Saccharomyces cerevisiae S288C: one gene and its partners. The protein of the gene in region 3 purifies or fractionates together with the protein of the main gene of each other region. This does not show direct contact. Each region holds a gene or a part of one and is shown on either strand. Other genes may lie near its edges. The genes, in order: SGN1, QNS1, PUF3 and PSP2.

Region 1 (7,184 bases), on a different chromosome or scaffold from region 3:
TATTTTAGTGTCCTTTTTTCTCTCTGATGGCTAGTGCAGATGATTACTTTAGTGATTTCGAAGATGACGAGCTGGATAAACTGTATGAAAAGGCTATCAATAAATCTGTGAAGGAAACTATAACGAGACGTGCTGTACCAGTTCAAAAAGACCTTCATGATAACGTTTTACCTGGGCAGAAAACTGTGTACGAAGAAATTCAAAGAGATGTCAGTTTTGGACCCACTCATCATGAGCTTGATTACGATGCTTTGTCGTTCTACGTGTACCCTACAAATTACGAGGTAAGGGATTATCAGTATACAATTGTTCACAAATCACTGTTTCAAAATACGTTATGCGCCATCCCAACGGGTATGGGTAAAACGTTCATTGCCAGTACAGTAATGTTAAATTATTTTCGTTGGACCAAAAAAGCCAAAATAATCTTTACTGCTCCAACAAGACCTTTGGTAGCCCAGCAAATTAAGGCATGCTTAGGTATAACAGGAATACCTTCGGATCAAACTGCTATATTACTCGATAAAAGCAGGAAAAATAGAGAAGAAATTTGGGCCAATAAGAGAGTTTTCTTTGCCACACCGCAAGTAGTGGAGAATGACTTGAAGAGGGGTGTATTGGATCCTAAGGATATTGTATGTCTTGTCATCGATGAAGCTCACAGAGCTACTGGCTCCTCTGCGTATACAAATGTGGTAAAATTCATAGATAGGTTCAATTCATCATACAGATTATTAGCATTGACCGCTACACCAGCCTCTGACCTGGAAGGTGTCCAAGAAGTGGTTAATAACTTAGATATTTCCAAGATTGAAATTAGGACTGAAGAAAGCATGGATATCGTGAAATATATGAAGAAAAGAAAAAAGGAAAAAATTGAAGTGCCCCTTTTGTTGGAAATTGAAGACATAATCGAACAATTAGGTATGGCCGTCAAACCAGTGCTTCAACAGGCAATTGAACTCGGTATATATGAGGAATGTGACCCTTCACAAATAAACGCCTTCAAAGCCATGCAACAAAGCCAAAAAATTATTGCTAACCCTACTATACCTGAAGGAATTAAGTGGAGGAACTTCTTTATTTTACAGTTATTGAACAATGTGGGTCAAATGCTAAAGAGATTAAAAATTTATGGAATAAGGACATTTTTCAATTACTTCCAGAATAAATGTACAGAATTCACTACGAAATATAATCTTAAAAAATCTACTAATAAAATTGCAGCTGAGTTTTATTACCATCCGATTTTGAAAAACATCAAAAATCAATGCGAAAATTATTTAAGTGATCCAAAGTTTGTCGGTCATGGGAAGTTACAATGTGTTAGAGATGAACTAATGGACTTTTTTCAGAAAAGGGGTTCCGACTCGAGGGTTATTATTTTTACAGAATTAAGAGAAAGCGCACTTGAAATTGTGAAGTTCATAGACTCGGTAGCTGACGATCAAATCAGGCCTCATATTTTTATTGGACAAGCTCGTGCAAAAGAAGGTTTTGATGAGGTCAAATACACAAGAAAACATGCGCCAAAGGGAAGGAAGAAGGTAGAGAGATTGCATAGGCAAGAGCAAGAGAAATTTTTGGAAGCTGAACGAACTAAGAGAGCGGCGAATGATAAACTTGAAAGAAGTGCCAGACGAACGGGGAGCTCTGAAGAGGCTCAGATTAGCGGAATGAACCAAAAAATGCAAAAAGAGGTTATCCATAATTTCAAAAAGGGTGAATATAATGTTCTCGTTTGTACATCAATTGGAGAAGAAGGTTTGGATATCGGAGAAGTTGATTTAATAATCTGTTATGATACTACAAGTAGTCCAATCAAAAATATTCAGCGTATGGGTAGAACAGGCAGAAAACGAGATGGTAAGATAGTACTACTGTTTAGCAGTAATGAATCATACAAATTCGAGCGTGCTATGGAAGACTATTCAACCCTGCAAGCGCTTATATCCAAGCAATGCATTGACTATAAAAAATCAGATCGGATAATCCCTGAAGACATTATTCCGGAATGTCACGAGACATTGATCACGATTAATGATGAAAACGAAATAATTAATGAAATGGAAGATGTTGACGAAGTTATTCGTTATGCGACTCAGTGTATGATGGGCAAAAAGGTGAAGCCAAAAAAAGCCATAACAAAGAAGAAGAGAGTTCAGGAAAATAAAAAACCGAAGAAGTTCTTTATGCCTGATAATGTTGAGACCAGTATTGTTAGTGCAAGCACTTTAATTAATAAGTTCTTGGTGAATGAAAGTGGCGGGAAACAACTAGTAACGAGTAATGAAAACCCAAGTAAGAAGCGGAAGATTTTTAAAGCTTTGGATAATCTGGAGAATGATTCAACCGAGGAAGCTTCCTCCTCATTAGAAACTGAAGATGAAGAAGTCAGTGATGATAATAATGTTTTCATTGCGGAAGGGCAGAATGGATGCCAAAAAGATTTGGAAACTGCCATTATTCGCACTGGCGAAAGTCTTACCACACTCAAGCCACTTCATAATTTTGAACGCCCTAATATGGCTTTATTTGTGAATGATTGTGGTCTTCCAACTAAAATCGAGAAAAATGTGAAAGACATCCGAGGAAATCAACACAACCTTGAAAAAGAAAAGAGCTGTACTGTTGACAAGAATAACATGGTATTGAGTTTGGACGATTGGAATTTTTTCAGAAACCGCTATATCCCAGAAGGTGTTTCCTTCGATGTGGAGCCCAATTTTGTACAATACACCAAAGGGGTAAAAGTTCCGCATTGTCACAAAGTTTCAAAAATCATTACGTTATTTAACGACGAGAGTAATGATAATAAGAAGAGGACAATTGATATGAACTATACTAAATGTTTGGCGAGAGGCATGTTACGAGACGAAAAAAAATTTGTAAAAGTTAACGATAAAAGTCAAGTCGATAACAACAGTGTCAACCATGATTCATCCCAATCTTTTACCTTATCGAACGCAGAATTAGATGACATACTGGGCTCAGATTCTGATTTTTGATAGGAGACTCTTATACGTCGGCGTCTATACAAAAATAACGCTGCTGTAATATTTAAGTATTTATAGATTTTTCTATATATCGCATAAATACTTCAAGGACATTATATTTTTAGTATCAACTTATTTTCTTTAGAATTTTTCATTCATTAAGGATACGGCACTGTTTTTGAAGCAACAAAATATAAAAATTGAGCCAACGACGAGTACAATCTGTAATCTTCCACGCCTACCAATGCAAAACCTTTCTGTCATGAAGCACTAAGCATAGCGCTTCAATTTGTGGCAATCACCATAATAAACAGCTTGTTTCTTGGAGGATATGAAAAAGATTATCAATCATTCGTTAGGTGAAAAAAAACCGCAACAATTTCCTACACTCCGAAAAGTAACCTTAAAATGCAGCAAATTTCAAATTTAATTTTGATTAAGTAAGTAATCTCAACTTTCGCTCTCCAACCAGGCCTATTAACATAAACATATATCTGCTGTCACATAGTGTCATCATTTGCAATTGCTGTTATGTCCCAGGAAGAGAAAGTGGATGCTAAGGCAACCTTAAAGACTGAAATTTCGAACAATAAAAAGAACGACAAGCAAGAGCTCGAGCTGGATGAACTTGTGGGTAAACTATCTATCGAGGGCACTCCACAGGTGTCGCAAAAGCTAAGCAAGGAGGAAAAACACGCTCATCAACTTGAAGCTGACTCGCGTTCTATCTTTGTCGGTAACATCACTCCGGATGTCACCCCAGAGCAAATAGAAGATCATTTCAAAGACTGTGGCCAGATAAAAAGAATAACACTTCTTTATGATAGGAATACGGGAACACCAAAAGGCTACGGCTATATTGAATTTGAAAGTCCGGCATACAGAGAAAAAGCCCTGCAATTAAATGGAGGAGAACTTAAAGGCAAAAAAATTGCTGTCTCCAGAAAAAGAACTAACATTCCAGGATTTAATAGGCATTACAACTCGCAAAACCAGTATTTCCAACAATGGCAATGGAATTATCCCTTAATGGCCTACCCCAATCCCGATACCTTCCCTTATTACCCACCGTACCCTCCAAATCAGTCTCCAAATCAAAATTTCGGATATAATAAGAACAATTATTATAGGAGTCCTTACAATAACAAGAATAGAACCTTCCAAAAAAAACACTTCAACAGTGCCAAAGACTCTACAAAAAATATTAGATCTACTTCCCAAAAACCTGTTGTCATGCCGTCTGACAACGTTAAAAGTTCTACCCAAGAAAAAGATTCGAAATAAACACAAGGCTTTCATGTGTATACTTAATAATAATTAAGTGAGCTGCTGCTTTGAATAAGTTGAAGGACAACTGGTGTTATCTCGCTTGTCTATCCAAACCTTCAAGAATAGGGTAAATGCAAAAGCAAATATAAAATGCCACAACTACAATCAAAAAAAGAAATGTCATCGCTTGTTACAATATTTTCATTCCTTTATTCAAGGATTTTTTTTTTTAATTTTTCGTTAAAAAATATTGATCACTTTATAGGGAATATTATGTACCTGGCTACAGCTGAAGCTTGCCTCTGTATGTAAAGTATCTAAAATATATCAATTTTTTTTTTTGGATAACACCTGTTTTCATTACCCTGTATCTCGTATTCGTGAAAATAACTATTCTGAAGTAATAATTATAAAAAACATTTCGGAAAACAAAACCATTAATAATTTGTTTTTAATTTTAAATATCAATATTATAATAATTTATAATATTATAAAAATTTAATTAAAAATATAAAAATTTTCACGTGAATCATATGTATATATATTTTTTACAGAAAAAGTATCATACTTCTTATTATAATTGTCATTATATTTTTTAAGAGTGCGCAGCAGTCATTGGCAATATTCATCCGTTCGCAGTGACGCGTAAAAATACATAAGGTTATTGAATGCGGAATTATACATCAAGTTCCAGATCAGCTAGGATATTATCTAACATACCCATATCTTTTCTGTACTCCAAATACCCTACTTGTTTTAGGTATTCTAAATCGTCTTGGTTTTCGAACAGCTCCACATCATCCGGTTCAAAAGAATATTTTCGGAGCAAATAGTACCTAATGTCATCCACTAGTTCAATAGTATCAGTTTCCTGGCGGAGAGAAATTCGTTGTGAACTCAACATAATTGCCCTTTTAATCTCTGGATCTTTATATAACTCTTGCAAATGTATAGCTATAAATTTAGCTGCAAATTGTTCTAAGCGTTCCACTCCTATTTCCCATGATAAATAGAGTACGTCAAAAACATTGTATTGCTGAATAAACTCTTTTGATTGTGTTATAATTGTAGAAGCGATAGTTTTTAAGCGGTCTTCTAAAAGTATATCGGCAAGTAACAAAACATCGACGGCATACATCCAAGGAATGTCTGTATTATCTGCATATAAGTAGCGGAGAATAATTTCGGCAACCTCAAACTCACAATTGGGTAATGTCAGCTGTGGAATGATACTATTATACTTTCCTGTAACGTGCTTGGCTTTGATATATGTAACTTTCTCCTTGAAGTTGTTTGTGAACATCACCTTGAAATATTCTGCGCGGCTCAAAACAGCCAGGTGACAAGGGTATATTCGAATGGCTCCATTTCGGTTTTTTACCATAAGTTGAACATCCGGATAAGCTGGACAGTTCATCAAGGAAAAAACTCGTCGTTCACTATTAGCAAGATCAACAGTAGATCTAAAGATACAATTGTTCACAAATATTAAAAGTTGACTTCTTGCAACCTCGGTAAACTTATATTGGTAATCTGACATTAACCTCGACTTTTCCGTAGGATCGGCGGTATGCCTTGCTTTGTCTAAAAATTCGGGCAATAACTCAATATCAAATTTACTAGATAGCTCTATAAGTTCTTCATATTGTCCCGGTTCAATTTGGTGCAGGATCGGAATTAAGTAAAGAAATTTCAAAAATATGTCAAATATATCTGGGCGCACTTCAAGAGAAACAATTTCATGCTTTGCCCACTCATTCACCATTTTTTCTGCTAGAATTTCGCTCCTTGCACATAATAAGAACTTATGCGCTGTGAACAGTTTTCCATTCGAAACTCTGAATGTGATATCTCTTTTAAGGAAGCCTTCGTCATTATACATCGATGAGATATGAGTAGCAAAGGGTTGCTTGACATCTACAGCCTTGGATATATCATAACTTAAAAGGGTATCTCTGATAGTATCGGTCAATGCTCCATAAATACATCGAGCTCCTTCATATCTGTCTCTATCACAGACGGCTCCTCTCTGTAGAAGAAGTTTCACGACTGCTTCATGCCCGCAAAGGCTAGCCAGAAAAAGTGGCGAATTGTCAAACTTGTCAACACTATTCACATTTACTCCCGTGGAAATCAATCTATCAACATTGTCCATATCACCAGTGCGGCATGAATAGCACAGTTCTTCAAAATTTTTGTCCATTAATTTATCTGCCATAAATATGCCAAAGGTCGTTTTCAAGTGGTAGTGTACAATTTATGACAAATCTTTCCTGTAGTTTTTTTTTTCTTGTATTTTTGTTTATTGTCAATATGACCATAGAGAATAGTAAGTAAATTGAGTGTCCACATCTACGTAGTCCACGTATTATTATTTTACTTAAAAGGGATGGGTGTTTTAGGAATTCAGAATAAGCGATACCGTTTCTAAATTCTCAATTTAGAAGGTTAGGCAGGAATTGAGTTTCAATATAACCTGTTAATGTCCCTTTTTTTTTATCTTCTATTCTTGACGTCGTTTTATCTCCTTCAGGGTTTCCTGTTTTCCTTCTTGTTTAGCATTGCCTAATTGCTAAACGAATCCCTTTGTTAAACATTTGTAAACCGGAAAGTTGGAACAAATATCTACACAAATCAAATAGCCTTTCTATTTCATTCTAGGATTAAGTCAGCAAATATTGATAAAGTTGTGTTAATCGTATGAATTCGAAGCACATTTCACTACAATGAGACTCTTCATCGGTAGAAGATCACGGTCGATTGTAATATCTTCCAACAACTACTGTTTATCCTTCCAGCGTTTGCGCAGCATACCAGGTGCCAGTTCTCAGCAGCGTCAATTAAGTAAAACTCCTAGCGTAACAATCAAGTCCTACCCTGACACAGATCTTTCAAGTGATAGTAACTATCTCGAAGTCA
Region 2 (8,270 bases), on a different chromosome or scaffold from region 3:
TTTCAATTTTCTAGACCTACATAAATTTGATAAGTTTTTAGGTGATAAATACTAATTATAATTGATCGATTATATGTTTTAATCTCGAAGGAGCAGTGGCCGTTTTCTTATCCAGAACCAGTTCTTTTAAGACTCGCCAGTTTCTTTTTAGCTGTAATAAGGAAAAATAGATTGATATTAGTTACAGTTGTGCTTCACGTTGTTAAAACGTACAAGAAAAGTCTTTAACTGTAGCAACCAAAAAAGGTACTTGATGTCGATATTAAGCCGCATCTCTAGATCTAAAGGCTCCACTCTACTGCTCCACTTTACTGCTCCAAAGAGTCGGCTTACAGATAGGCTACCGCTACATTAATAACTGTGCTGGAAAACCTTGTTTCCGGGAGCACAAAATTGTAATGACATATTTATTTTGGTTGTATCAAGCGTTTCCAACTGTTGATTCAACCAAAAAGCCTCATAGCTTTTAATACGGATATTGCTTAGGGTAGGGCGAAAAAAATAACCAAATCTTTGGAAAAAGCAGTTTGACACCATACAACCAGCAACGACATGGTTTTTTAGTGAACCTGTTGGGGGGAGAGTATAACTCGTGAAAGTTTCGACGTCCTATTTGCTGGAGAGTAGTAAAACGAGCTTGAATAGCAGCCTGCGAATCGAATTATGGAAACAATTGATATACAAAATCGATCATTTGTTGTTCGTTGGGTAAAATGTGGCCGTGGCGATGTAATCAATTATCAGATCAAGCCATTGAAGAAATCTATTGAAGTCGGCATATACAAAAAGTTGAAATCCAGTGTAGATGACCATGCTTCCGCAGTTCACATTGCACCTGACACTAAAACATTGCTAGACTATACTACGAAATCTCTATTACATAAGGGAAGTTCGAGTAATATTGAGGAGCATCACAGGCGTTCCTCACAGCACTCTCATAGTTCGAGCAATGGATCGGATAATAAGAGGAAAGAGAGATCATATTCTTCACTGTCCATTAGCGGCATACAGCAGCAATCCCAGGAAATACCCCTACGTGAAAAACTCTCTGCGTCAGGATTCACTTTGGTCAAGAGGGTCGGCAACGTTTCCGGTAACACTATGGTCCAAGGTGATCTTGAAGTGAAAGATACAGACTACTATTATGCATTTATACTGGACAACTCGTCTTCCAAGAATGCAAAAAAGAAAATTCTTTTTAACGCAAGTGTGATAAACGGCGATAATCAATCGATGATAAGCACAAGATCCACCCCTCCCGCAAGGCCTACAGCTTTAAGCAGAACATCTACTCAACAGGATATGTTATTTAGAGTAGGACAAGGTCGTTACTTGCAAGGCTACCTGCTGAAAAAAAGGAGAAAGAGACTACAAGGTTTTAAGAAAAGGTTTTTCACCTTGGACTTTCGATATGGAACCCTATCGTACTATTTAAACGACCATAATCAAACTTGTAGGGGTGAAATTGTCATAAGCTTGTCATCTGTTAGTGCCAATAAGAAGGACAAAATAATCATAATTGATTCTGGTATGGAAGTTTGGGTCTTGAAGGCTACAACTAAGGAAAATTGGCAGTCGTGGGTCGATGCGTTACAAACTTGTTTTGACGATCAGTTCGAAGATAAGGACACGTCCACTTTGGAAGAAAATCCCGACATTCTTGACGATGACAAGGAAGTAATTAATAAAAGCTCACCTCAAGACCACGACCACCTCACGCCCACGGCTACGACCAAAAGTGCACTATCACATAGACAGCATACTCAGAAAGACATGGATGACATATATGTCCCATTGCCCAGCGAATCTTACGCTACTTTCTCCATGAATCTACGTTTGATTCAACAACGACTGGAGCAGTGTAAAAAAGACTCGTTATCTTATAAACCAACTACTTTACATCAAAGATCGGAGGGGCTAAATGGAACACATTCGTCATCTTCCGTCTTTACCAATAATAGAGTGTCTTCATTCAATCATTCTTCTTCTGGTATGACGTCATCTGATTCTTTAGCCTCTGAAGAGGTTCCTTCCAACAAAACATATATTGAGCATGCTTTATATAACCAATTGGCAGATCTTGAAGTATTTGTTAGCCGGTTCGTTACACAGGGAGAGGTTTTATTCAAGGACCACCAGATCCTGTGCAAGAAAGCAAAAGACACGAGAGTTTCTTTAACTTCATATCTTAGCGAGAATGATGAATTTTTTGATGCAGAAGAGGAAATCAGTCGGGGAGTCATTATATTACCTGACACAGAAGATGATATTAATAATATAGTCGAGGAAACTCCCCTTCTTGGTAAAAGTGACCAAAATGAGTTCACAAAAGAGGTCCAATTGTCGGGATCCGAACAGATAGCTTCATCAAGTGTGGAGAGCTATACAACTAACGATGAAAATCATAGCCGTAAACACCTCAAAAATCGTCACAAAAATCGTCGCCGTGGCCACCCTCATCATCAAAAAACCAAAAGCGCCCAATCCTCAACAGAAACATTTACAAGTAAGGATTTGTTTGCTCTTTCCTATCCAAAGAGTGTTACACGCCGTAATGACATACCTGAAGCTGCAGCTTCTCCGCCAAGCCTATTATCTTTTTTGAGAAAGAATGTAGGCAAAGATCTGAGCTCTATTGCCATGCCAGTAACCTCAAATGAGCCTATTTCTATTTTGCAGTTGATATCAGAAACATTTGAGTATGCTCCACTTTTAACGAAGGCTACCCAACGTCCTGATCCTATAACCTTTGTTTCTGCATTTGCTATTTCCTTTCTTTCCATATATAGGGATAAAACAAGAACGCTAAGAAAGCCTTTTAATCCTTTACTGGCTGAAACATTTGAACTTATACGAGAAGATATGGGGTTTAGGCTTATATCGGAAAAGGTCTCACATCGTCCTCCAGTATTTGCCTTCTTTGCAGAGCATCTCGACTGGGAGTGTAGTTACACTGTAACGCCATCGCAAAAGTTTTGGGGTAAGTCTATTGAATTGAATAACGAAGGTATACTGAGATTGAAGTTTAAGACAACTGGAGAACTATTTGAATGGACGCAACCAACAACTATTTTAAAAAATTTGATAGCGGGTGAGAGATATATGGAGCCTGTCAACGAATTCGAAGTACATTCTTCGAAGGGAGACAAATCACACATCCTGTTCGATAAGGCAGGTATGTTTAGTGGAAGATCTGAAGGATTTAAGGTTTCGATAATCCCACCACCTTCGAGCAATCGCAAGAAGGAAACTCTAGCTGGTAAATGGACACAGAGTTTAGCTAATGAAACTACACATGAAACTATATGGGAAGTAGGTGATTTAGTTAGCAATCCGAAGAAGAAATATGGCTTTACTAAATTCACCGCAAATTTGAATGAGATAACTGAAATTGAAAAGGGCAATTTACCACCTACGGACTCAAGATTAAGACCAGATATTAGAGCTTACGAGGAGGGAAATGTTGATAAGGCGGAAGAGTGGAAGCTGAAATTGGAACAACTTCAACGTGAAAGACGTAATAAAGGGCAAGATGTGGAGCCTAAATATTTCGAAAAAGTATCTAAGAATGAATGGAAATACATAACTGGACCGAAGAGTTATTGGGAAAGAAGAAAGAAGCATGATTGGTCTGATATTTCTCAACTCTGGTGAATGCCTTGATGACATCAAGTGAACTTTTTTCCCCCCTTTGTACTCTATTTATTTTCCATCTTTAATGATCATCCACACAAATTACTTGTATATGCGTTCATGTATAGTATACTATATACAACATGAAGGACTTTATAAATTCTTGATCAATCTTTCACACTAATTTTATATTAACAGTTCTACACTATTTTTGTTTGCTTGACTGTAAAAACATTCTATTTTATGATTAGTTGCAAAACTTGAAAAAAACAATAGAATTTCATCACATAATTGAAAGATAATGAACTCTTTCAGTCAGTTAGATCCATGTTTTTTGAAGAAAAGTTTACGAACACAGGATCTTACAAAAGGTGCCTAAATTTGGAATTGAAAGTCTATTGCTATCAAAACTTGTCAAAGATAACATAGCTTGGAACATCTTATCCTTTATATGTCCTGCTAAGTCATATCAAGAGGCCCCAATAGTTTCGTCGAAAAAGATAAAGAGGAATATGGAAGGGAAATATAAGATTATCAACTGGTTACCTCAAAATAGACTATATGCTCACATCATCAATTGATATTGCTTGTAAAAATACCCCCAAATACCCTGGCATTCTTTTTTTGACTCCCTGCCAGTAATGTCACATCTTATCACTTTAGCTACATGCAACTTGAATCAATGGGCCCTAGATTTTGAAGGTAATAGAGACCGTATCCTACAGTCCATTAAGATTGCCAAAGAGAGGGGTGCCAGGTTACGTGTCGGCCCAGAACTGGAAATAACTGGCTACGGATGTTTAGATCATTTTTTAGAAAATGACGTTTGCCTTCATTCATGGGAAATGTATGCTCAAATCATTAAGAATAAAGAAACCCATGGATTAATACTTGACATTGGTATGCCCGTTCTACACAAGAATGTTCGTTATAATTGTCGTTTGTTATCCTTGGATGGTGAGATATTGTTCATAAGACCTAAGATTTGGTTAGCTAATGATGGTAACTATAGGGAAATGAGATTTTTCACACCTTGGATGAAACCTGGCGTGGTGGAGGACTTTATCCTTCCACCTGAGATTCAGAAAGTTACCGGCCAGAGACTTGTGCCATTTGGGGACGCTGTGATAAATTCATTGGATACATGCATTGGTACAGAAACTTGTGAAGAATTGTTTACACCTCAATCCCCCCACATCGCCATGTCTTTAGATGGTGTGGAAATCATGACAAACTCATCTGGTTCTCATCATGAACTGCGTAAGTTAAATAAAAGGTTAGACCTAATTTTAAATGCCACTAAACGTTGTGGTGGTGTTTACTTGTATGCAAATCAAAGAGGTTGTGATGGTGACAGATTATATTATGATGGCTGTGCACTAATTGCCATCAATGGTACAATTGTAGCCCAAGGTTCACAATTTTCGCTAGATGATGTGGAAGTAGTTACTGCTACTGTGGACCTAGAAGAGGTGAGGAGTTATCGTGCAGCTGTCATGTCTCGTGGCCTACAAGCCTCCTTGGCAGAAATAAAGTTCAAGCGTATTGATATTCCTGTAGAATTGGCTTTAATGACCTCCAGATTTGATCCTACAGTGTGTCCAACAAAAGTCCGCGAGCCTTTCTATCACTCTCCTGAGGAAGAAATTGCACTGGGACCTGCTTGCTGGATGTGGGATTATTTAAGACGTTGTAACGGAACAGGGTTTTTCCTTCCCTTATCTGGGGGCATTGACTCTTGTGCAACTGCAATGATTGTCCACTCTATGTGCCGTTTAGTGACCGACGCTGCTCAAAATGGAAATGAGCAAGTTATCAAAGACGTTCGTAAGATAACACGTAGCGGCGATGATTGGATTCCAGACAGTCCACAGGATCTAGCCTCAAAAATATTTCACTCCTGTTTCATGGGTACGGAAAATTCATCCAAGGAGACAAGAAACAGAGCAAAGGACCTTTCCAATGCAATTGGATCTTACCACGTGGATTTAAAGATGGACTCATTGGTATCCAGTGTGGTGTCCTTATTCGAAGTAGCCACTGGCAAAAAACCAATATACAAAATATTTGGGGGATCTCAAATCGAGAACTTGGCTTTACAAAACATCCAGGCGCGTCTAAGAATGGTTCTTTCTTATCTTTTTGCGCAACTGTTGCCGTGGGTTCGTGGTATCCCAAACTCGGGTGGATTGTTAGTACTTGGTAGCGCAAATGTTGATGAGTGCTTACGTGGGTATCTAACAAAATATGACTGCTCCTCCGCAGATATCAACCCTATTGGGGGTATTTCAAAAACTGACTTGAAAAGATTCATTGCCTACGCATCAAAACAATATAACATGCCAATCTTGAATGACTTTTTAAACGCTACACCAACTGCAGAATTAGAACCTATGACTAAAGATTACGTTCAATCGGATGAGATAGATATGGGGATGACGTATGAAGAATTGGGCGTGTTTGGTTACCTAAGAAAGGTTGAAAAATGTGGTCCTTATTCTATGTTCTTAAAACTTCTTCATCAATGGTCCCCAAAGTTAACACCTCGTCAAATATCTGAAAAGGTGAAAAGATTTTTCTTCTTCTATGCCATCAACAGACACAAGCAAACTGTTTTAACTCCTAGTTATCATGCTGAACAGTATTCACCAGAAGACAACAGATTTGACTTACGTCCTTTCTTAATCAACCCAAGATTTCCATGGGCTTCAAGAAAAATTGATGAAGTTGTCGAGCAGTGTGAAGCACATAAAGGCTCAACGCTTGACATTATGTCTATTGATTAGCACAGAAGAAGTGCTCACAGCAAAATAAGACTTTTCCACGAGTTCATATATTCTGTTATTTATTCTATCATAAATAAAGATATAAAAGTGATATTTAACCCTTATGTATTTTGCACGGTTTTGTGTTGACCCCAATTAGTCTTGATTACTACATTCCTAGAATCGTTCCGCTTCCAGAAATCAATTAAAGTGATTGCTGTTTTTATAGGCGAATCTTCTTGAATGAAATGCCCGGAATCTTGGAAAACTACCAACTGATATTTACCTTGCATTTGCCCCACAATTAATTCTTTATCGAGATTTTCGTTTCCCGCCAATATTAATAATTTACTAACAGGTAAGCCAACAAAGGAGTGCGACAGATCGGTAAACCATGTGTCCCAGAAAGGGCTAAAGGTCTTAAGGTTTGTTATCCTGACAACTTTCCCTGACTTGAGCGGAGCAAATAAAGCTGGTATAGCAATTTCGGCGCTTGACCTCAATCTCGATAACGCGTGTTGAACGTGCCAATCGACAGCGTCATTAATTGATTCAAATACATTGGGTGTATTCTGCAAAAAATGTTCAACTTTATTTAAGGCCATAATGGCAGCCTCTTCTACAATATCTAACATAGTAATACCAAGAATTTTCTTTTGTAGTTCTGTTGATAATTTAGGGTACGCAAAAGTACATATACTTCCACCAAGGGAATGACCAATTAGTATAACAGATACCTTCTGAAGTGGCTCTTGGCTTATTTTAGACTTAAACCAATAATTTAGCAGGCTTACAAAATCTTTGATAAAAGAGTCCCTGTCAAAGCATATAGGCGCATCAGCCTTCTTAAACTTTGTTTCTGCATGCCCCCTAGCATCAAATGCAAAGCATCCGCATCTTCCTTCTAGTTTAGTATTTAATTCCTTGGCCAAGTTTGCAAATGATAAACCTGAGGAGCCCGCCCCATGGTGGAAAATAAAGATGGGAATTGAAGTGGTATTTGATAACAATGAAGTAGGTAATGTATAGTATGTATTTACGTCCAGATCTCTATCAGGAAGACTTACCAACTCCTTATTATCAAAAAAATCACTCCAAGTGGGTAAACTACTCTTTTCCTTACTTGAAATTCTATCAGTAGTACTACCGGTTTTGCCCGTATATTTTCTGTTCCTATTTGATTGTCCATTAAATGATGGCAGGGAACCTAATGCATCACCATCGTTTTCATCATCCTCGTATGCTTCTTGGAATGTCGCATCTAGAACATTCTTGGCTCTCTCAAACTGGGATAAAGCAATTTTTCTTCTCAAATCGTCAGACATTGAAAATTTGAAAATGTCCTACCGTTACTACCAGTTTGTTGCCGTATTTTTGACTCTTTGTTGAGCATTAGTTGATCATTACCGCTGCAGTCAGTTAATGATATCCCTAAATAGGCATATTGTACAATTTCAAATATATTACCCGAATTACAAGAACAATAGGGTCTTCTACAATATTACTATGAACAATTCATAGGGGAACATAGTCCACTTCAATGTCGGTGCCAACGATTCTATTTGTTGTAAGTATATATGCTGTTTCCCGGCAATACTTTATATTGGGGGAATTTTCTGGAGGTTTAAGGGCATATTACTACGTCAAGGCTGGGATTGACCTTCTGGTATATATTACGTTGCGCAGGACATTCCTTATACTTGAGCCTTTGTAAAAACTTCTTCGTTCTCCTGACCAACCGTTCAATTATGTTGTGAATTTTTTGATCCGAGTTTGAAACATCCAAATTCACAAACAAACCGTTGTCATCCTGAGTTGGCGTCGGCCATTGAGCTTCCTCTATGTGTTTTAAATCTTTCATTTTAAGAAATC
Region 3 (8,950 bases):
TTTTCGAATCGTTTTTTAGAGAGATAACTGGTTTTGTCATGGCATGGACATTTGGATACGCCCTAATCGGATGAACATATAAGAACTACTTCTATAAACGGTTAGAAACAGGCTTGATTTATTATGTACAGTAAATATAATGTTATTTGTGTTTTTTTTTTTTAAATTTTTTTAGTTCCTTCTATGTAAAAAGACATGACAACAGTATTCTCAGTCAAATGATTTCAAATACACAATGTTAAATTCTCTATCTGTTGCAGAAATAAGAAGAGCGTAAGAGCGCAAAGATTTTTGCAGAAAAATAGAGATGAGGTACAAAAAGTAGGTAATGGAAAAAAGCAAATAATGAATATAGGGGAACATAAATGTTATGGACAAGAGTAGATATCAAAATAAAACAAAATAAAATAGAGTAAGTGAAAGACAAATGGAGGAAAAAAAAAAAAAAAAAAAAAAAAAAAAAATAGTAAAAAGTGAAAGGAGAACGATGATAACACTAATCACACCTCCGCATTTTCAACCAATGCTGCAAGTTTCTCAACACTGGCTAAATGTCTATTTCCTAGGGAGTTAGATTTGTTTAGTTTATCCAAATATGCTCTAATGGCAATGACGATCAATTTCTTACCCTCACCCTCAGAGACATTAACTAATTTTTGAATCACATAGTTGGCAAATTGATCCTTGATCATTAAAATCATTGGAGAATCGTCTTCCAGATTCAAAGCATGATTTTTGTCTCTTGGTAAAATCTTAGAAATTATTAAATCCTTCTGATTTTTAGAGCCATAAAGAATAGATTTTTCGACCACGTTGGAGGCAAATTTATGTTTAGAGTATTCGACAACATTATTGGCCACAGTTTCTATGATTTCCTGTTTGATATCGACCATTTCCTTATTGGTGAACTGATCTTGTTGCAAAACATATTGAATGACATAGTTACCATATTGGTCTTGAATTAGATATGGTATGAAATCTTTCAATTCGTTTAAAATGCTTTCCTGATCTTCGCTCGAACCAAATTCTAACAATCTTTGAATGACCCTACAGCCGTAGGAGTGGGTAGATAGATGGTAAATGTGGCCAGTTAAAGAACTTAAGATAAAAGGTAATTTTTCGATAGGAATTGTTTCGATGGCCTTTTGAATTACGTGATTACCGTTCTGATCTTTGATCATTTGCAAAACGGAGTCAGATAATTCCAGGACTAACTCAATTCTTTGATTGGAATCAATATATTCTAACGCCTTTTGAATTACACGACATGCGTACATTTGTAGAGATAACTGTTTCATGTTACCTTTAAATTGATCAACCAAAGTATTTTTTTGAATTTTGCTACCAAATTCAAAAAACTTCTGAATGACGTAATTACCAAATACATCGTTCGAAAGCTCAATGGCGTCATCGCGAATTTCATTGAATATGACCTCCTTTTCTGAGGCTGGTGAGGTGGCCAACTCGCGCTGAATGAACCGTGAACCATGTTGATCTTTGCAAAACTCTAAGGAATGGCCAAAGATGTCTTTTAGTGACATGTTCGAGTTTGAATTTTTGTCAGAACTACTGTTTCTTAGTTGCTCTAACAACGGCGATCGATGATACGTTTGCTGCTGTTGCTGTAGACTTTGAGAATGAGGATGAGAATGAGAGTGAGATTTATGGTTGTTGGCCGTTGACTCATTAGATTTGGAAGAAGCATTCTTTTTAGAGGTATTCTTTGTGGGTATAGAATTTTCTAGATAAGGATTTGCCTGTTTGTTGGCGTTGTTGGAGTTATTTGCAGGATGATTCTTGTTATTTCTTTTCTTGAAGGTTTTTTCGTCCTTGGGCATTTTGACAGGTATAGGATTTGGAGTAGGGTAGTAAATATAAGGATTCTCCTGTTGCTGTTGCTGTTGTTGGTCTTCTTGTTGTTGTTGTTGTTGCTGTTGCTGTTGTTGCTGGGGAGCAGAGAGTGGTGGAGGTGGCATAAACATCATTGGGTTGGGGTAGGCAAACGGGAACGGAGAATTGTTTGGAGGGGACGAAGGTGAAGAAACAGAAGAAGGTCTGTTTGCCTTCTTCTTTTTCTTACCATTTGAGTCTTCGGTGTCTTCATTTGCTGGAATCTGTACTGAAATCATCTGGGAGATGAAATTTGAAGGAGATCCGATCAAGTAGTTGGGGAAGTTTTGGTAATGAGGGCCCTGATGAAACTGATTGGGTGGGAAGCCGTTCATGTAGGGGGGGAAATTGTTATTTGCAGGCCCATCTTGTTGGTTAGGAAGCGCGACATTTGTGGCCCCAACAGCGGCTGGATTGTTACTAGGTCTAAATACTGGTGTGTTGGCTACGTTCCAGATATTTCTCTTGGGGTAATGAGCATTTTCGGACTCTAAAGACGCAGATGAGCCTGAATTTGAACTGGAGTGGTAAAGCGAACCACTGTTAGTAGTGTTCCTATTCAATTTGTTGAAGTTTTTGTCAGACTCGACATTTTGCTCGAAAGTATTCTGTGTGTCTAAGCTGGCGTTAGAGACGCTTTTTGATATGAATTGGGACTGAGTATTGACAGCGTCGGGTCTATCTTGAGATTCCAGTTCCCTTGTACCGTCAATCAAAGATTTTCCGAACTTCTCAAAAAACCCTTCCCCACCAGAGTTGTTGTTGTCATTGCCATTGTAGTAAACGGGACCAGCAATGGAAGCTGAATACTGGCCCAGAAGATGGTTGACCTTGTTGTTTTTCCCGAGATTAGCCGCAGTATGATGAGTATGATAGTTATTGTACGATGCGGATGACAGGGAGGCAGTGTCGGTTGATCTGTACTGGTAATAATTGCCGCCGTTACCAAAAAACTTTTTCGAGTTCGTGGAGAATGGCGGAGCAGTACCAACTGATAGGGCGGTTTTCTTGAAGATCGGTGAAGATTCACTGGAACCGTGAAGCAGCAAGATCTCTGAATCTACTTCATTTGCCGTGGTGAAACTCGACCTTCTGAAGCCGCCAATTTGCTGTGATCCAGCAGCACCGCCGTTCACAATGCCGGCCGCGGCGGCCTGACCGCCGTTGTTGTTACTATGGGACAGGGCGCTTAAAGAAGAAACTATGGATGCGAGTTCCATATCCATATCCATATCCATGTTCATTTCCATTTATACCCGCAATATTGCGTTATTCAGAAGAAATTTAAATGCGTAGTTCTTGTTTGTTTTCTTGTTTGCTTGCGTACTTCTATGCTTATAGATATATCAGTAGCAAGGAAGTTTCCTTTTCACCGCCTTTCAATGTTCCTATCTTTTTCTTATGTTTCTCTTTAGAGACCAGATGACCAGAAAAAAATTAGCTAAGCAGTGTTATACTATTTACAGTAGATATTCAAATATGTGCAGGCACCACTTATTTTTCTTTTTCCTTCTTTTCTTTGTTTTTTTTTTTCTCCTATTCATCAAGCTTCATACATCCAATATACATTCTCAAGTGTGCTAATGGTACATTTGGGAAATTATCTTCCTCTCTCCACAATTTTTAGAAGGAAAAAAGAAATGCAGTTCAGGGTAACAGAGTGCGCAATTACCGTAGATAGCGATCGGATGTTTATCTTTAGCCCTCTTTTTCTAGCTCAAACCCCGGCACGAATTTTTTAGGTCTTGCTGCTCTGCCCTCGGGCACTTTTCTTCGAGAAGTTCTGGGGCGGTCTGATCGGGAAAAAACGTTCCCTTTTCGGACGTATCGCAGGCAATGTGCAAAAGCTTATTATATACGAGAAAAGAAACGCGAAGGAACGAAAGAAGATGAAAAAAATGCAGCGATAAAATGATATTGTGGTTAATCTAAATTTATATATATATATATATATACATATATATATAGAAATCTATTGTTATACACAAAAATACTTATTTTTTAATATAGATGGCTGCAGATAAAGTAATAGTTTTATATATAGGTATATTTACTGCACAATTCACACGATGGGTGTTTCTGCGGTGTTGAAAAGAGCTAGGAATTTACTAGCAACGTTCATAGTCTGCTGTTTTATGGCAGTAGTGCTTGTTCTGGCGCTGGCACACCATTTTATAAATGAGCACAGAGACACTAGGAGTTCATCGACCCAAATCGAAGTTGATGACGAAAGTAAAAGAAACGTACACCATGACCATGTTCTCACTAGAACCAATGCATACGCGACGCCATACCTCGATCTGGAACATGACAAGAAAAACGGTATCGTCTACGATCATACAAGAACGGTTGTCCGTAAAAAGAACCACGAAGTGGGGTCCTCGTCACTGCATAAAAACCTTTTTCACAAATTTTTGACAAAGCTTATTTTTAGGTTTATCGAGAAGGAAAAAGTTACCGAAGGCGTAACGCAAGGAAAGTTCAATAATAGTAGCAATGAAATTGCCAATCATGAACCGGTTTTTGAAAAAATTCCTGTACAGTGCGACAATCCATTACAGAATCTAATCTTATCGGAAGACTTGACATTAGTTGCGGATCTTAATTATTATTTTAACCAGTACAATATTCAAATAGAGGAATTTAGATTGGAGACCGAAGATGGGTTTGTTATAGATTTGTGGCACTTGATACCAAAATATAGAACGACAGATTCTGACAAGAAGAAGAGGCCACCCATTTTGATGCTACATGGCCTTTTGCAAAGCAGTGGTTCGTTCGCATCCAATGGTAGAAAATCTCTGGCATATTTTCTGTATCAATCCGGTTACGACATATGGTTAGGGAATAACAGATGCGGGTTTAGGCCGGAATGGAACGAAGCGAAAGTACCGACACTAGCTTCCAGGTGGGACTGGGACCTTCGCGAGATGGTTAAGTACGATCTGACCCTTTTGATTGATACCGTGTTAGCTAAGACGCAGTTTGAAAAGCTTACTTTGATCTCGCATTCTCAGGGCACTACACAGGGGTTTATGGGCTTGGTCAACGAAGATAAGTTTTTCCCTCCCGGTTCGGGATCTAAAGAATCTTTTTTCACTTCTAAGATCGCAAACTATATTGCCTTGGCCCCCGCAGTGTATCCTGGTCCCTTACTTAACGAGAAATTGTTTGTTAAGCTTATGACAAAGGAAATCGAAAATCCCTGGTTCTTTGGTGAAACGAGCTTTTTTGAGATAATGATGATTGTAAGAAACTTGTGCGTTGGTGAGAGCTTGTTCTCCTTTGTTTGTTACACCATCTTCAATTACCTGTTTGATTGGAACGATACCCTTTGGGATACCGCATTAAGAGATCGCCATTTCCTGTTTTCGCCAGTCCATGTTTCAGTGAAGTTGATGCAATGGTGGCTGTCACCCGACCCCAACAAGGTAAGTTTTAAATTTGGTTCCCATAAGATGTTCCCCGACAATGTTAAGTGGTTTTCAGACGCATCAAAGGCCCCAAATATCTACTTGTTTGTTCCAAAGCAAGATAGATTGGTGGACGGAGAAAGACTAATCAATCATTTCGTCAATGTGGAGTCGAATGTCAACTACAAGATCTGGTACATTGATGAGTATGCCCATATTGATGTCCTATGGGCACATGATGTCATAGAGAGAATTGGTAAACCAATTTTACAGAATTTGAACAACTATTACTCCAAGAAGCCATCCAGCGCCTTTGAAAGTGATTGTTCGGACACAGAGGTGGAAACGGAGCTGGAAATGGTTGCTGAGAAGGCTTGAAGAGGAAGCATGATATATAGGTTAATATAAATTATACTTGGGAATACATAGATAGAGGGCTAGTAAATTTTTAGTTTTTAATTGTTCTTTTTTTTTGAAGTATTGTGTCACAAATTGTCGGGAGTTGGGACATCACCGTGCATAACGATACATTTTTTTGAAAAATTTGATATTGAAAAAAAATCGATGAGTTTGAATTACATTACAGTTGTATAAAGCAACCGCATTTCATTAACGTAGTTTGACTCGCGAAGATAAGGCGTTAAAATGAAGATTAAGACCATTAAAAGAAGTGCTGATGACTATGTCCCTGTTAAAAGTACGCAGGAATCTCAAATGCCCAGGAATTTGAACCCTGAATTGCATCCTTTTGAAAGGGCACGTGAATATACTAAAGCTTTGAATGCCACCAAATTGGAAAGAATGTTTGCTAAACCCTTTGTGGGTCAGTTAGGATACGGTCATAGAGATGGTGTTTATGCTATTGCCAAAAATTATGGTAGTCTGAATAAATTGGCTACTGGTTCTGCAGATGGTGTGATTAAATACTGGAACATGTCTACTAGAGAAGAATTTGTTTCCTTTAAGGCGCATTATGGACTCGTTACTGGTCTTTGTGTGACACAGCCTCGTTTTCATGACAAGAAGCCAGATTTGAAGAGCCAAAATTTTATGTTATCTTGCAGTGATGACAAAACTGTCAAGCTATGGTCAATAAATGTTGATGATTACTCCAATAAAAACTCCAGTGATAACGACTCCGTTACTAACGAGGAAGGTTTGATTCGTACTTTTGACGGTGAATCTGCATTTCAAGGTATCGATTCGCACAGAGAAAACTCCACGTTTGCCACAGGTGGGGCCAAGATCCATCTTTGGGACGTTAACAGATTGAAGCCAGTTTCCGATCTATCATGGGGAGCAGACAACATTACTAGTTTAAAATTCAATCAAAATGAAACAGATATCTTGGCCAGTACTGGTAGTGATAATTCTATTGTTCTTTACGACTTGAGAACCAACTCCCCCACACAAAAGATTGTTCAAACAATGAGGACGAATGCTATTTGCTGGAATCCAATGGAGGCCTTCAACTTTGTAACTGCCAATGAAGATCATAACGCCTACTATTATGATATGAGGAATTTATCACGTTCATTGAATGTATTCAAAGATCACGTCAGCGCAGTAATGGATGTTGACTTTTCTCCTACGGGGGATGAGATTGTTACTGGTTCGTACGATAAGAGTATCAGAATATATAAGACGAATCACGGACATTCGAGAGAAATTTATCATACGAAGAGAATGCAGCATGTTTTCCAGGTTAAATATTCCATGGATTCTAAATATATTATCAGTGGATCTGATGATGGGAATGTTAGGCTATGGAGAAGTAAAGCTTGGGAGAGGTCTAATGTCAAAACTACTCGTGAAAAGAATAAATTAGAATATGACGAAAAATTAAAAGAAAGATTTAGACATATGCCGGAGATCAAAAGAATCAGTAGACATAGACACGTGCCACAAGTCATCAAAAAGGCTCAGGAAATTAAGAACATTGAGTTGAGTTCTATTAAGAGAAGAGAAGCTAATGAAAGGCGTACTAGAAAGGATATGCCATACATTTCCGAAAGGAAGAAACAAATCGTTGGTACCGTGCACAAATATGAAGATTCAGGAAGAGATAGGAAAAGAAGAAAGGAAGATGACAAACGTGATACTCAAGAAAAGTAGTTATTCTGTTTTATGTTGTCTGTATATACACATATGTACAATATTTGCATTTTTTTAATTTTTAATTCACATGTATTTGATAAATGTTCACGCCAGTCCCGTTAAATTAAAATTACCATTTTATTAGATTATGAATTTATATATGAATACATTGTGTCGTAATGGTAGAAGAAGTTGAAAAAAAAAATGTCAAGGGACAGCATGGGTACAGTGTGTTGAGCCAAAAAAAAAAAGAAAAAAAAAGAAAAAACTTTTTGTTCTCTGGTTCTTTTCTTCATCTTCTTCATCTTCATTCTTTGGTAGCGGGGGCCACAAGAAATTCGGGCGAAAGTGCTCATTATATTGTTACATCCAAAATTTTGCCCACATCCAGTGAGGTTTTCACAGAAAGGTCTTCTAAAAGAGGAATAATATCTAATAATTCGTTATCATGAGTATCTGAGAACCAGGACGAAATCGGTATTGCATGTTGGGGATGAAAAATATAAGATGCCGGAGAGTTATCGAGAATGATGATATCTGATAACGGCCTTCCAATCTGGGATAAGTTTTTTATATAGTTTCCTTCATAGTTATAGCAAGCCTCTCTGAATAATCTGTGATGAATGACTTTATCTGTGTCTAATATATCAAGCAAAGGATCACCGTATCGAGAGACACTAGCCGTGAAGACTACAACCTCGAATAATTTTCCGACTCTTTCCAAAAATTCTTCCACACCAGGTCTTTTAATGACATAGACATTGTGTACTTGGTCATCTATTTCCACAGACAAAACAAAATCCGCAGATCGTAAGTATTTGAAAGAAGAGTGTACCAAGGTTTCATCCAGGTCCAGTATTAGGCATTTCTTGCCCTTTGTACTTTCATCTTGTGGGGGGAGCAGAGTGTTGTAACCTGGTGCATGATACTGGCCCTGCTGCAAAAGCGTTAGATCAATATATTCTTCATCTTCATCGTCTTCGTCGTCGGCATCGTTGGAAGTTTCACTGGCTTGAGAGCTGCTACTTACCCTACTCAAATTCATATCTTGGATAAGATGGTCAGACGATACTTGTACAGTAGGCCCTCGCTGCTGCGACTGCGACTGCGACTGTGACTGTGACTGTGACTGGGGTTGTGGTTGTGGTTGTGACTGTTGTTGTTGTTGCTGCTGTTGTTTTTTCTGCCTGGAAGTATCTTTCACAGCATCTCCTTTTTCCTGTACAATGCCACGACTGCGACGGTTATCTTCATCGTCGATCTCTTCATCTTCGTCAACCTCGTATTTTTCCTCGTAAAGATCATCTTTACTAATTCGCTTCTCTACTTTTGTCATATTATTAGTAGTAGTGGCGGTGACGGCTGCAGTCGGCGACGATGGCTTCTTTTTTTCATTATCGTTCGTGCTTATCCCAGATTTACCGGTGGATCGTTCAGTGGAACTGAAAGTAGCGGCTGAATTTGTCTTAGAAGGAGGAGAGTTTGTCTGATGTACGCCACGGGTTCGGCTTTTCGTGTTGGAATGTTTAACGCTTCTGTTTTTATTGAGA
Region 4 (8,128 bases), on a different chromosome or scaffold from region 3:
ATTGCTAGCCGTTATTGAGTTCTCAAAATGTTCCTCCTCAGAGCTTTTGTTAATGATGAAAAATGAGCCTAAGATGAGGGTAGCACCAAATAAATAGAGCGCAGACATGGTTTTGTGCTTAAAGATTACATCACCAAACATTGCTAGGGGTATCGTTATGCTCAATCCTACGGTGACGGTTAAAGGACTCGTTAGTAACATAGCCTTTGCCCAACAAAAGTCGCTAACAAATGTGATGAGACAATTGACGAAGATTATTACCACAACTTTAGGATCTTTGGGCAGAGAGAATGGTTCCCAGCCAAAAAAGTCCAATACAATCAGTGATGGCCATAGAAAAAGTAAATTAAAGAGACCAACAAAGCCAAAAAAAATCTTCATGTTAACACGAGTCTCATCTCCGACTTCTCTCTTCAATAAAGTACTGTAGACACCGTAAAGTACAGCACCTGCAAGTGCCAACAAGTTGCCTATCAGAACTTGCACGGCATCGTTATCATCACCACTAACGTCCGCGATATGGCGTTGGTAGCGCTGATGAGAATCTGATTTGGTGACCATGATTATGCCTACAAAGGAAATGAACGACCCGAGTACTTTGGACTTGCTCAACGATTCAACATGACAAATAGCACCTATGAACAAGGTGAAAAAGGAAGAAGTAGTGGAGAGGATTGTCTGCGATGCCACCGATGTGAATGCCAGCGAGGCATTGGTCACAAGGTTAGCTGTGAACCAAAGTATGCAGAACTCAGCACTTAACTTGATTGTTTCATATAACGTTAGCCTCTTCTTTTGGTTGGCATGCGTGCCTGCTTCAAGGTTTGTAAGCAGTGGGCTAGTCATATCAACCGAGCGATTGCTATCACTACCAGTACCTTCTTCCTCCATAATTAGTTCGCGGTGAACGTTTGCACGGCCTGTGTCCTTGTAATTCACCACAACGGCCTTTGCAGTTGGAAAAAGATAAAAGATAAAGGCGGCAGTATTGGTGTACGTGATAAAGAATGGTTTTCTATACGAGTCATCCTCGAAGATCAAATTTATCAGGAAGGACGATAAAACCCACAAAATAATGACTAGACCCAACATCAGAAGACCCAAGGTCCACCTCTTATTAAAGGACGTTTGATCCTTCGACACCATGGCTCTGTTGAACTTTTATCTGAGAGAGGAAAAAAAGGAAGGAAAAAAAAGAAGAAACTTCCTTTATTTATTTGTCTTAACCACAACACACAATGCAATAAGATGCAATATAATATCAAAGCCAATATCTTATGTTGCTGATCCTGAGAAGGAATATATACAATTTATGTAGTAAAATACCTTTTCTTCTGCGAGTTGCAAGAAATAGAAAAGACTCCGATTGCGCATCGCCAGAATAAAATTTCACAACCACACTTTTTGGCTGAACTTTTTATTACCTGATTAAACAGAGAGAGAAAAGGTAGAGGTCAAAATTTTTTAAGCAAAACTAAAAAAGATGCAAAATCACGTGCTGAAAATCTAACATAAGGGTTAAGATTAGAGTTTTATAGGACTTGTTTTGTAATATTTCAAATACGAGCTAACCCTACTGATTTCAATTAGGTCTAATTTAGGGTTGAGCTGCACTGAAATTTCGGAAATTTTGGGTTATTTTAAATGAGACAGAAGAACTACAGAGATACGTTCTTCAGACTTTAAAGCTTATCTCCACAAAGAATTGGTCAAGAAATCATCCTAGAAAAACACGTTTGCTCACTCGATCTTAATCACATAGAGTGCTGGAACGGGAAGAAATGGGTATGTGCCTCGGTTTTTCTCATTAACCCCTTTTGATCCATAACGGTCCTCTTTTGTTTCCTTTTTTTTTTTTGTTTTAGTATTTTATGTTTACTATTTTCTTCTGTTTCAGTCATACGTAGGAATTATTGCATGAAAGAGGATATAATATTCATGTGGATTTTTAAGAAAATAGATCAAGTTTAAATAGCCACTAACAATTGAACAATGCTCTCTCTTGGCCTCTTTTCTTCTTTTTTATCGTTTCTCTAAAAATCAAGCTGATTAGACATGGTCTTGCAATGTTTTTGCTTTCTCTAATCAGCTTGGTTTTCCGCAAAGAAGAGAAAGTCACGGAATTGTCTACATATGTTTCTATTCAGGAACAAATAATACATCTAATAATAATGGCACTACGAAGAAAATGTCCCTAGAAGAATTTCTAGGGAACGACACTTTAGGCGAGTCAGTATGGGATGAGGAAGATATTAATTTGGATGCTATAAGCAATACTACGAATATTGACATCTTGAAACAAACCAAGGCAGGCGAACATCAACGTGATGGTCACCAACAGCACCCACACGGTGGTCATGGACCCATGAACAGATCACGTTTTTCTAATGCAGGGCCTTTTGGTGGTGGTAGCATGGGGGACTTTGCAAATCATCACCACCCGCTGCAGCATCAGCAAGGTCCTCCTTATATTGTGAAGTTTTCTGATTTACCACCGAGATTTTCCAACTTTGACATTGAAGATCTTTTTCAAGCAAAGTTTACCAAGTTTATTAAGTTCAAACTGTTTTGGGAGATAAATAAAAATCCAAGTATTTCTACTTTGAAATCGGGGTCAATCTTTGATCAAAATTTCAAACGTGACTCGAAGGTAGCATTTGTCGAGTTATATACATCCCGTGATATGGACAAAATTTTGAACTATTGGACCACTCCTTTGAAGGAAATTTACCACATTACAACAGCGCCCGCAGAATTCGAAGATTTTAAGGATTACAGCACGAAGGTGAAATTATTAACAGACCCTAAAGACGATGCTGGCAAACCATTCATTACTAAGACTCAGCGGTCAAAATCCAATCCTTTTGGAAGTGCTAAACCGGTTGATACGCAATCGAAGATTTTGGACATTGAAGAAAAAATGGAAAATTTACACGTGGAAGATACAACAACCCTGAGGGCATCATTAATCCCTAGTAGTGATTCTATGGCAACCACTGCAACAGGCAGCAAGATCACAATCTTGAAAAAGCAGACACCTACAGAGGAGGAATCACATTCTGCAACCCCAACTCCCAAACCTTTAAGTTACTCTGAAGTAGTTGAGAGATCTGTGGTCAATGAAACTTCCAAGAAAGGAACTCCATTAAGCAAGCTTGACTCACCAGCTCTTGAACTACAATCTAAGCCCGATAAATCGGACGAGTTCAAAGGTGGCGATGAACAAGGCTTTGAGAAAGGTGGCGACGATAAAGCTCAATTAGATGTCTCAAATGATAAAGATAAAGGTTCAGAAACCGATGTTGATAAACAGTTCACTTTCAAGAATGTGGAAAGGGAACATAGTATGAGCAGAACCAAATATAACGGAAACCATAATAACAATAATGGCAATTTTAGAGGGAGTAATAGATATCGTGGAGGCCCCAATGGCAGCAGTTATAAAGGTGGGCATAACAATCGTGGTAATCGCGGCGGATATCGTGGTGGCAGCTCATACAACAACAACAACAACAACACTAATGATAATAATAATAATAATAATAATAGTAGTAGTAATAATAATAACGGTTCAAGATATCATGATCGACAAAACAATGAAGAAGGGTTAACCTCGGATTCATCTTTAGATGCCTCAGGAAATAAAAAGAATGATTTCACGAACTCAACATCCAATACACAACAATATTCCATTTTCAAACCAGCAAGTGGGTTCCTTGGCCAAGGTAATAATGATTCTATAAGGAACAATGGACGCGGTAACTATAACAGCAGCGGTATGAATGGAGGTTCGAGAGGAAGAGGATTTGGCAGAGGAAGGGGATTTGGCAGAGGCGCATATAACAATCGAGGTAGTCGTGGTGGACGTGGAAGCAGCGGTAACTACTCCAACTACAATAACAGAACAACAGACATGCCTTTATGAGTCATGTACTGACCCATTAATTTTCTTTTCTCTTTTTTTTTTTTTTTTTTTTTTTTCCTCTATTTCCTTTTTTTGTTCTAGTCGGTTACGCAGTTCTGAGTAATGTAATATAGCGTTCCTTTTCCTCTCAGATTTTTTTGACCTTATTTTGTTTCCACTTTTTACTACTTATGCTGCTTTTTGTCCATTTCCCCTTCAGTTGTTTTGAATTTTTTTTTTAAAAAAAATTCGTCTTTCTGATTAATCAATTTTGATTATATATTTTCTCTTGATTAGTTCACAATTTTTATAGGCCCTTATTTCTTAAAGAAGTTTTATGAAGTTTCGTAAGTATTGGGGGGGTTGAAAATAATCTCTCACGTTATACGCAATAAAAAATTAAAATTAAGGAGAACCAATCTATAGAAACGAACCATTGAATTTAGCTATATGACTATATACCATTACGTAATTTATATAAACAGCTTAATATAGCGAAAGCAAAGTAGAACGAAATTTCGGAGAGTTCTAGATTGTATAGAGCGAATGAGCATTCAATACACACGCGAAGGCAGTAGGCGATGAAAGGAAGTTTTTTAATGTCATTAAGAAAAAGATAGGGAACTTCTATTTCCTGTCTTTCATATATATATATATATATATATATATATATATGTGCATATGTACATCGTTGAGTTGTTCATGAAATAATGAATATAATACTTCTGGATTTTTTAGTCAGTAAATTTACTGTTGAGATTCGTTATCATTTGTGATGCTTGTTTCCATCATTTGCTGTTGTTGATTAGCCAGTTTTCTTTCCTGTCTACCTTTCTTCATAACTTGCTTCAAAGCTGCACTATCTAGTGGATCTAACAATTCAAAAGAGCACAATAAACCTTCGCTGACGCTCATTACAGCCCCCCAATTATCAAATTCACCACAATAATTTGGCGCGGAAAACACCGTAACGAGACTTCTATCATTGAAAAATTCATAACCGTCTTCCACAACCATGTGAGCTCTACAAACCAAATCAAACCCAAACTTGTTCAAGAATTTGTTAATTGCCACCTTATTATAACAGTAACTTACACCACGTTCGTTATCCTCCCATTCGTTGGGTGAATCTGTGGGATCGGACCACAAAAGATCATTAATTAAGCCAAAATCTGGTACATCAGTAGGCCTAACTACATGTCTGATTTCATCCATAGAATTTAAAACTGGCGACAATCCACCATGAACACAAAAAATCTTTCCGGCTACGATAGCAGCTAATGGTAATGTATTAAAAGTATCGATGAATGTCTTCCAGATCTTGATGTTACAACGACGTTTACATTCATCATAAAATCCATAAACCCTTGTGACGTTAGCACATTCATGGTTGCCTCTCAATAAAAAGAAATTTTCAGGGTATTTTATTTTGTAACAAAACAATAGTAAAATAGTCTCCAGTGACTGTTTACCACGGTCCACATAATCACCTAGGAATAAATAGTTCGAGGATGGTGGGAACCCACATTTGGTAAAAAGCCTTAAGAGATCCCCATATTGGCCATGAACGTCGCCTACAATTTTTACAGGAGGTGATAATTCTAATAAGGAAGGTTGAGAAAGAAAGATTTCACGAGCCTTGATGCAAATCTGTAAAATTTCATTGTTCTTCAAACAAACATTTTTTGTTCTCTTAGCAGCGTAGCCCGCATCCAGTAATTTTTGGATAGTTTCATCAATATCGATAGGCTTTTTGAATTTTTTTGGAGCGTTTTTGTTTCCGGAAGATTGCATTATATCATTAAATTCCTCATTCGGATCTTTTTTGCTATCTGTTATATTATTATTTTTATCATTAACATTTTCCATTGATGCATGGATATTACTCAATTGAGATGAATTTTCAATGTCATCATCATTGCTGATGTGTTTGCTCGGGTAAATATCGCGACTTGAATGGTGATTCAATGAGGAGGTTGAATTAGAGGTAAAGTATTCACCAGAGTGATCTGTTAGCTTGGACAAGCCTGGAGAGTTTAATGGGGTGCTGTATGCGGTATTACCATCTGATCCAAACGAAGATTTCCTACTGTGTAGCGAAGATGCATGAGAATTTGACCGGGTTAATGCCTGAACGAGATAATTCTCCTGATTGTTAGAGGAGTATGATCCATTGTTAGGCTCTTCATGGGTCACATCTGATTTCCTTCTTGACACTGATCCGCTTCTTATACTGGACGGACGAGAATTCGAAGATCTAGAAAACCTTTTAGTGTGCGAGATGTCGTTGTCTTTATCATCATTGTCATCATCGGTTAAGGCGTTCTCATAATAGGTAGATGAGTATGAAGATTTATGCTTGGATACGTGTGTGCTACTATTGTTTGTTTTTAAAATGGGTGACTTGGGTTCCATTTGGATCATTGAAGGTGGTAAATCAGCAGCAGCCTTAGTATTATAACTTGATCTTCTAGAAGTAGAAGGCCTCTTAGTAGAGGATGATGAAGGAGTAGTTAACAATTCGTTTTGAGAATTTGAATGCGAGTGTGAGCTAGATGGGAAATGGTAACGATTCGTGTGAGAGCTATGTCGTTGGTGATTAACCTCAAGATTGGGCTTTGATGGAGTGGAGGGATCAGGGACGTTTGAATTAGTATTCGTAGTGGACGAAGAAGGAAGAGATCGCCTTGATCTTGAAGATTTATTTGATTTTGCAGACTTCACAGAATGGGAAGTCTCGGTTCTCGACACTTGAGGACGAGGATTTCTCGAGGAGGAATTCGAATGTGAATCCTTTTTCGAAGATTTTGAACTTGAATTACCCATTTTGAAAAGGAAGGAAAGATAAGCAGAGAGTGGTTGATTTGTTGTTTTATGACAAAGCCTCTAGGGGAAAAGAAGCGACTATAACGATGAAATAAAAATAAAACGATAAAGAAAAGTATAATCAAATGTATTCCAAAGAAGTACTTTTATATATAATCTTTATATTTAACTTGAAAGAAAAAGATTTAACATGTATTGCCAAAACAAACAAAACTAATAATGGAAGCTATTGTATTGTGCTTTTATGTTACCCACCTGCCAATGGTTCACAAGAGAAAGCTGATTAACAGAATTAGAAGATCTGCAGTAATCGTTTTCTTTTTTTTTTTTTCATTAATTTATATGCTATCCTTTTAAAAATAGACATGTCATTTCAAACGACATGTTAAAAATTATATATATGTTTATATATAGATTGATATATGTTGGAGCCGTTGGACAATTATGGGCAGCTATCTGAACATGGATCCCTGCCCTTCTCCTTGAGTTCTCCAGTAAGCGTTAGGCAAAGTGTCCGACTGCAGACGGTAGAGTCTCCACGCCTCACGGATGTGTTCGGGCAATAAGGGACTGTTGTTATATTTCTCGATGCTTACATCTAGTTTGTTGAATTGGAGGACGAGCTTATTGTACTGCTCGATGAGTTGTAGCTTCAAGTCCTGTGAATTATGGTCTGATTGCTGTAAGGATTTGGACTGTAGCAACGAGTTGCCCAGCGTAGTTTCGCGCTTGTCTACTTCTTCATCGTCGAAGTAGAAATCAGGTTCGTCTTCGGGAACGCTATCGGATTGATAATCTTGCTTGTATTGCTGGTTTTCTATGATGGAGAAAGTCAATTTTTTTAGATATTTTTTCAATTTATAGCCTATTTTGGTCCTCTTATCAAACTCTATGCACATTTGACTTGTCAACCACTTATTCTTCACAATCATGGCCAATTCGATTATCTCACCAGCGTATATTTTTCCCACCGCTTGCAGAAAAACACGAATATTTTCACTTATAGTTTGATTAGCTACTGTGCTAGCCAGTTTTTTGACCTGGGTTTTGTTTAGGGATGTTCTATGGAAAACTTCAAACCGATTAGTTTGATCTTTATCCAAGTTGGTTACCAAGAGCTTGAATTGTTCGTCCTGCGCAAGTTTTTCATTTTCATCTTCGTTGGTATTGGTGTCTTCGTAATTGCTATTTTGTGTTTGCTGTTGTAAAATGTCTTGTGGAAAGATCAGGTTTTCTGGGACTTTGTTGATAGAGTCCGGGTCTTGCTGATTTATCCTGGTTTTCTGGTATTTGTATTTTGGATATTTATTTAATTGGTTGTTGATTGATGTACCACCCGTTCGCAGGTTTTGCAATTTCCACGTAACGTAGTCCTGGTCCTCACTGATGACTTGGTCA

The links.
Region 1: the proteins of PUF3 (region 3) and SGN1 purify together in Saccharomyces cerevisiae (affinity purification with mass spectrometry; 2 studies listed by BioGRID, with this or other methods). This does not show direct contact.
Region 2: the proteins of PUF3 (region 3) and QNS1 purify together in Saccharomyces cerevisiae (affinity purification with mass spectrometry; 2 studies listed by BioGRID, with this or other methods). This does not show direct contact.
Region 4: the proteins of PUF3 (region 3) and PSP2 purify together in Saccharomyces cerevisiae (affinity purification with mass spectrometry; 2 studies listed by BioGRID, with this or other methods). This does not show direct contact.

The regions. Positions count from the first base shown.
Region 1 is NC_001141.2:353,239-360,422, reverse strand, and holds SGN1 (Sgn1p), read left to right. Parts: upstream 1-3,527; coding exon 3,528-4,280; downstream 4,281-7,184. Other genes in the region: MPH1 (3'-5' DNA helicase), read left to right, coding at 27-3,008; YIL001W (uncharacterized protein), read right to left, coding at 4,942-6,483; phosphoinositide 5-phosphatase INP51, read left to right, coding at 6,992-7,184.
Region 2 is NC_001140.6:241,919-250,188, forward strand, and holds QNS1 (glutamine-dependent NAD(+) synthetase), read left to right. Parts: upstream 1-4,274; coding exon 4,275-6,419; downstream 6,420-8,270. Other genes in the region: oxysterol-binding protein related protein OSH3, read left to right, coding at 664-3,654; PPE1 (phosphoprotein phosphatase methylesterase 1), read right to left, coding at 6,521-7,723.
Region 3 is NC_001144.5:121,575-130,524, forward strand, and holds PUF3 (mRNA-binding protein PUF3), read right to left. Parts: upstream 3,141-8,950; coding exon 501-3,140; downstream 1-500. Other genes in the region: EMC6 (Emc6p), read left to right, coding at 1-74; YEH1 (sterol esterase), read left to right, coding at 3,960-5,681; rRNA-processing protein SOF1, read left to right, coding at 5,949-7,418; PSR1 (phosphatase), read right to left, coding at 7,756-8,950. UniProt on the Saccharomyces cerevisiae protein: RNA-binding protein involved in post-transcriptional regulation. Negatively regulates expression of COX17 by binding to the 3'-UTR of COX17 mRNA. Promotes decay of COX17 mRNA by enhancing its rate of deadenylation and subsequent turnover.
Region 4 is NC_001145.3:234,807-242,934, forward strand, and holds PSP2 (Psp2p), read left to right. Parts: upstream 1-1,781; coding exon 1,782-1,785; intron 1,786-2,147; coding exon 2,148-3,925; downstream 3,926-8,128. Other genes in the region: YML018C (uncharacterized protein), read right to left, coding at 1-1,146; PPZ1 (salt homeostasis regulator), read right to left, coding at 4,652-6,730; TATA-binding protein-associated factor TAF11, read right to left, coding at 7,183-8,128. UniProt on the Saccharomyces cerevisiae protein: DNA polymerase alpha mutation suppressor. Suppressor of group II intron splicing defects of a mutation in MRS2. May play a role in mitochondrial mRNA splicing.